2 linked regions of the Sus scrofa genome follow. The protein of the gene in region 2 interacts with the protein of the main gene of each other region in a biochemical or structural test. Links are inferred from orthologs where the notes say so. Each region holds a gene or a part of one and is shown on either strand. Other genes may lie near its edges. The genes, in order: MPP1 and ABCC4.

Region 1 (2,719 bases), on a different chromosome or scaffold from region 2:
CTGACCCATCGATCCAAGAGGGCCTGCCCCCGAGGCCCGGCTGACAGCTCGCCTATCCCCCTTGCCCCGGGGACGCTGGAGCTCAGAAATGAAGGCGTGACGGCGGGAAATGTTTTCCAGACAGATCTACAAGCTACAGGCAGGATTTCCTTAAGGTCAAGGCTCCTCCTCATCCTTTGGAAAGAACACAACTAACTCATATCGGTACTCGTCGGAACAGCCGTCCGGCAGTTCTACCTCCACAGCCTTCTGCTTTCTGACCCCAGAATGTCCCTAAAGGCAAACGTGGAGAGGCAAGGAAAAAAACACTAGCAGGTTCAGCATCCAGCTTTCTCCACAGATTCACTTCTGGAGCTGGAAAGGATCTCAGCATCCACCTGACCCCCAGCCCGCTTCTTCTCTCTGGGCAGCCGCTGCCACGCGGGGGTCTGCCTGAGCACGGCTGTGACTGGGAAAATAGTCCGTGAAAACGAGTGGGCCTGGAAGAGCGCTCAGAGTGATGCGGGCATATGGGAAGATGTTGATACCACAAATAAAATGGAAAAAGTAATGTAAGTTTTTAAGAACATTATTTACTTCATTTTTAAGAGCAGGATAAAAACGGCTAGCACGGCTTCTGCTAGGGAGACAAACAGCATTGCTCCTTTGTTATGTGGAGCAATTATGGGTACAAATGTGGATCTTAGACCCAAATGTTCATGTTTCTCTTGCTTTCTTTTTCAGTTTGGCCACCCCGGGGCATATGGAGTTCCCGGGCCAGGGATCAGATCCGAGCTGCAGCAGTAACCACAGCTGCGGCAACACCGGATCCTTTGACCCACAGCGCTGGGCCAGGGAGCCAGCCTGCGTCCTGGCATTGCAGAGACACCACTGATCCCGCTGCACCACAGCGGGAACCACTCGTCTGTTTCTGTAATCAAACATTTAAGGTAGAATCACAGAGCAAAAAGCCACTCTTGACCCCGAGCCAGCTACTCACAGGGCGCGGGGTAGGCGAACTTCTCCGGGTTCCGGCTGAGCAGGGCACTCTTGACGTGGCTCCGGCCCACCCCGCTGGCTCCTGCGTGAGGGAGAAGGGAGAACACAGAGGCCGCTGTGAGGCAAATGGGGGCTCCCGTCTCTTCCCCCCAAACAAAGCTGGGGCTTGGAACATGAATGGGCAGAGCCTGACATCACCAACAGGTGACAGTGAGTTGGCACAGCTTCCAGGCTGGGGTCAGGGACAAGCACTGCTTTAAGTGGAGGAGGATTCGAGGCCCTTCCCACAGGCTAAGGATCAGGATTCAGAGCCTGTCATCTGCACGGAGGAGCCAGCTCACTCTCGGGATGTGCTGTTTATTTTCTAGGCATACGCGCTCTGCTGGGCGCTCTCCAAAGCTAAGGGAACGGAACTGAAGCCAGAGTTTGTGCTGAACTTTAAACAGAACCCGGATGTAGATCCTCTAACCCGGCTAATCTCTTCAGCCCGGACGCACGCGGCATGTCAGGGGGCCCCACCCGCGCTCTCGGGTCCCCTGCTGTGCCGGTTAAAGCCGCGTGGGGGGGACACCCGAGCGCCGGCAGGTGCACAGAGCACCTGAGAGAATTAGCTGCTCGGACTCCTGCCGGGTTTCCTTTAGCTTCTAAGGTGAACCCCGGGGGTGGGGGGTGTCCCGGTCATGGCCCTACAGAGTCCTCGGGTGTGCCTTTTTGCTTCCGCCTCTCACTGCCCTTTTCGGAGGGAGGGGAGGGGGCCCCAGGCTGCGGGCAGATACCAATCAGCACCAGCGTCTTCCTCTTGAACGCGGGCAGCCGAACCACCTCCTCGTAGGAGACGACATCCAACTGGTCAAAAACTAAAGACGAAGAAACCCAGCAAAGTTCCCTCGGGAGCCGGGACAGTGTCCGGGACAAGCAGGGGGCGCGGGTGACGGCGGCGCGTCCGGGTGGCCACTGCCCGCCCGCCTCCCCGTCCACCCCCCTCCCCAGTCTGTCGCCCGCGTCCCGCCCCCCAGCCGCCAGCAGCCGCGCCGACGTCGGGGGCACGGATGGGGCCCCCAGCCCGGGCCTGGCTCTGTCCCCCCAGCGGCGAGGCCTCCTGCCGGCGCAGGGATTTCAGGTTCCGGGAGCTGCTCGCCTTCCTGTTTTGATCCAGAAGCGCACGGGCAGGAGCGGGAGGGCGGCGTCTAACTGGCACATTCCCACGTTTCCTGCAGTCCGCTCGGACCGGCGCGCGTTTTCGGGTGTTTCCAAGCTCAGCAGGCCAGGAACACAGGCAGACCCAGCCCTCGGGGACGCCTGCCTGGCGCGGGGCTGCTCAGACCCTGCACTGGGTCGCGCTCGGGCGGAAAGGTCTGGAAGGCGGCGGACACGGACACGCGGCGGCCGTGCGGGCCGTGGGCCGGGCCCGGGGGGCAAGGCCCAGGGGCAGCAGAGGGGACGCGGCCCGCCTTGCGCGCCCCGTGGGTCCCGGGAGCCGCAGCCGGACGCTTACTCGCGCTGTGCTTGGCCAGGTACTTGTCCTTGTACTTCTTCTTCTTCCCGAAGGGACTGCAGCTCGGAGCCTCGCTCGGGGCCGACTGCGCTGTGCTCGCCACTCGCCTGGTGGGAGAGACAGCCCGGGTCACCCGCCTCCTTCCCTGCACCTGCCCCCGGCTCTCTCTGCGCCCCTCACGGCCCGCGTGTGGCCCTCTCTCACCCCCGCTCCCCTTCCCTCTCTGACCCAGGGCCTCTCGAACCC
Region 2 (3,816 bases):
CCCACCTGCCCGGCATCCAAAGCTGCAAGAGAAGAAGCAGAAGAAGAATAACATCAAGGCCACGCTTACCCTCAAGCCCGGCCACTTCCATCACTTTACCAAGACTCCCTTGCGATTTTTAAATCATGTGCGTATGACAATAGCATTACTTGTACTTTGACTATCTACGGATGGACTCGATGATACGAAGGGGAAAAAAAAAGAAAAACAGACCAAAAAATCCAAATCGGAAGAATGCAGAAAGCTATTCAATACACTTGCACAGCACCACACAGGTGGGGGAATCGTGTTATTATTCAGACTTGCGTCATTATGGTCTCACTGATAATCTCACTTTCTACGTCCAAAGTAGCCGCAGCTGGAAACCACGAAAAACAAGGCAATGGGTTCTAAGAACACCAGTGCTTTGAAAACTAAAATAATACTCTTGACTGTTCCATTATTCAAGATTGTAATTCTGGGTTGTTATGACGGAATAGTTAGGGACGGTGACTTCATGCCAGGCGCGTCAACGCCTGCTCTTCTGGTACCCACAGCAGTGAGGGCAGTGTTTTCTCTTAGAGAATCTTTCTCACCTCAGTCTATCAGGCACTTGCAACCGCAAGATCCAAGCAGCGCTTCAGCTGAATCCTAAAGCGCTGAACCTACACAAAAAGCAAGTGTGCTTCTCTCCTCCCAAATATGGTCAGTTTGCTAAACTGGTGTAGACCTCGACCCACTCAAAAAAGATAAAAGGATAAAAGGTGTGCTTAAGACCCAAATGACTCCTCCGCCTGAGCCCCACACTACCAATGCCTGAACACATGTCATGGGGACCATACAGCCTCTGATGTTCGACTAGGTAGCAAAAGTTTCCCTTAATAACTGTAAATGCAGTTATATAAACTGCGATCGTAGCACAGTTATTCACATCTGTACTCACTTTTTGACAGAATCAGGGACCCGAAGGCAACAACAATGACAAACATGGCACAGATGGCATCCAGACGCACGGCGAACCATCGGGACGTGGTCAGAAACAAGAACCAGGCCTCTGGATTTGTGAAGCGGAATAAGGAGAGTGAATAAGCAGAAACACCATCTTAACCGCTTTGAGTAGGGGAGAGCTCTGTGCTAGGTTGAGCGACAGAAGATTGTGACACAAAGTAGGACAGCCAAGTTGAACATGTGAGGAGCCTGAAGAGTCCAAAAAGCAAGATTTTGACACAAGAGGACATGTGGGACACAGAGGAATCAGGCCAGGGGCCTTGTGAGACGCAAGCACGGGAGACTTCAACCCACGGGGTATAAACAGAAATATAACTGTAATAAAGAACACGGACAAACGGTACAATGGGTACATTCGCTGCAGGGCTGGGCCTCGGTGTCAGGCTTATCCTCTCATAGTGGCAACCGTTCCCAGTTCTCTGAGAGCAGAGCGCAGCAGCTAACAGGATCTGCACGTGGCTTGCAAAATGCCTTTCTTAAGCTCGAAATACAATAAAGATTGGAAAGGTGGGCCAGGATTTTTACAGACTTAGGGGAAATTCTGAAATTTCTACCTAAGGAAAAAATATCACTGCTGCAAAGAATAACATACATCAAGTGGGCGGAAACTCGGACTATGAGGCAGTTCTTTTCCTCAGTCACTTAGGCCACCTTGCATGCTTTGCAAAGAGAGGGGCAAACTACAACCTGGGGCCAGGAATAGCCCATCACCTACTTTTGCAAATAAACTTTTACTGGAACACAGCCATGGCCATTTGTATTATGTTTGCCTTGCTTTTCTGCAACCTGATTAGATACAACAGAGACAGGGTGGCACACAAAGCCTAAAATGTTTACTTTACTGTCTGGATCTTTTAAAAAAAAAAGGGTTACTGAATGCTGCAACAGGGTCCACAAAGCAACAGGGCACCATGATGCAAGGACCGTGCAAACCAGTCAGGGGAGTAAAATAGCGGTGTGACTGGGGACACGGAGGGAACGGAGAAGATGCTTTGAGGAAGGGGTGGGGGAGGATGTGCAGAGGCAGGCAGCGCAGAGAGAGAGCCACCTGAGAAGGAGGTCAAGCCGCAGAAGGCAGCATATCCCAACTCTTGAAATTATTTCTAGAAACGTACAGACCTGAGTGCAAATCCTGGTGAGCGTCGAACAGCTCCTGAAACCTCTGTTCAGCTTTGAACGCCCGGATGGTCCAGAGTCCCTGGAGAGAAGACGATAAGTGCGAAAACACCGGGCTCCGTGCTGGGGAAGCAGAGACACGACAGAGAAGGTCAGGGAGCCTGGATGCCAGGAAACAAACGACCTCCCCCACCCTGGGGTCGCAATTCCCACCAAAGGGCACACCGGGAGCTTCCTGGGGGGCTGCCTGGAGGAGGAGGGATTACACCCCTTCTGGAAAGGAAGTAGATACAGAGAACTATGGAACACAATATACCTCTTTCTTGGCTTGGTTTCTAGAAAGTTAGTATTAATTTGCAGCAACCATCCAGTCAAGGTTTCTGACATAAACATTGTCCAGATAACTTCTTTTAAACATAACAATTCTACTTCATGATTTTGTCTTAATAATGATGGTTATTTATTAATATTTTTACTAATTACAGCATAAATGGAAGCTAGTTTGCATTGTCATCCCAGAGGGCCCAGGTGCTCACTTGTAGCTTCCAGGCGTTTCACATCTCGTGATGTCTGTAAGAAATATCTCCGAAGAACAAAGAAAATGATGCCAAGGGGAATCAGAGGAATCGCAATCCAAGGAATCACCGCCACCGCGACTCCCACCACACCCATCACTTGTAGAAATGTCTGAAATAAAGAAAATAGATACAGAGCCCTCTCTATCAAACATTCTTATCAAAAATAAGTGTTAATGGGTTGATTTTTTTAGGCTTAAACTCCTTTCCACCAAAGGCAAGTCTGAAAAGTAGGGGATGCGTTCCTATCCAAGAAAAAAAACAAAAATTTAGGTGGTCCTCATGTTTATTGCAAGCTTACTATGTGCCAAACATGATTTTTAACAGATGGACTATTTCAGACTCAGACAGCAGGACCTGAGTTCCAAATTATGAACCAGTAGGTATTACTAGAGCAAGCAGGTAACACAGATGAGGAATCCAAAAGCCTCAACTATACCTGTATGGATAAAGAAAGGGTTAATTGCAAATTCCAAGACCAGGAAAGGGAGAAAAATTCAAATGTAGACCTCTGGAAATGAGAATTCCTCTTTCTAGGTTGGGTTTTTTTGGTTTGTTTGTTTTTGTTTTTTCTTTGCGTACTTAACATTTGCTGAATGTGCAGGGCTGTGCATTCAATACTTCACTCCTGTGAACTCACCATTCCTCGCAGTACCCTTACTAGTAATAGTCCAGTCTCATTTTATAGATGGAGACACTGAGGCACTGGGAGAGGAAAAGCAACTTGATTGAGACCACAAAGCAGAAGCCATGGATCTCAGGAACCCACGTCAGAAGCCATTATGATAAACATAAACTTGACCCCGACATACAGGGCAACCTTCTATCATTGTGCTATGTATTTTAAATATTCATTTCAAACAATTCTTGGGTGAAACCTTTCTCCTGAAAATACGCAATGATCTTTCACAACTCAGAGCCATTCGTATATGTATGTATATGTGTGTGTGTATACATATTTCTTTGCTTTTTAGGGCTTCACCTGTGGCATATTGAGGTTCCCAGGCTAGGGTTGAGTCGGAGCTACAGCTGCCAGTCTACACCATACCACAGCCATTCTAGATCTGAGCCACATCTGTAACCTACACCACAGCTCACGGCGATGCCAGTCCTTAACCCACTGAGTGGGGCCCGGGAT

Evidence for each region.
Region 1: the proteins of ABCC4 (region 2) and MPP1 form a complex in vitro, tested with the Homo sapiens proteins (2 studies listed by BioGRID and IntAct, with this or other methods). The link is inferred for Sus scrofa from reciprocal best matches to the Homo sapiens genes ABCC4 and MPP1.

What each region holds. Positions count from the first base shown.
Region 1 is NC_010461.5:125,232,249-125,234,967, forward strand, and holds part of MPP1 (55 kDa erythrocyte membrane protein), read right to left. Parts: intron 2,581-2,719; coding exon 2,474-2,580; intron 1,836-2,473; coding exon 1,755-1,835; intron 1,061-1,754; coding exon 980-1,060; intron 1-979. UniProt on the Homo sapiens protein: Essential regulator of neutrophil polarity. Regulates neutrophil polarization by regulating AKT1 phosphorylation through a mechanism that is independent of PIK3CG activity.
Region 2 is NC_010453.5:64,135,281-64,139,096, forward strand, and holds part of ABCC4 (multidrug resistance-associated protein 4), read right to left. Parts: intron 2,791-3,816; coding exon 2,640-2,790; intron 2,227-2,639; coding exon 2,107-2,226; intron 1,034-2,106; coding exon 923-1,033; intron 23-922; coding exon 1-22. UniProt on the Homo sapiens protein: ATP-dependent transporter of the ATP-binding cassette (ABC) family that actively extrudes physiological compounds and xenobiotics from cells.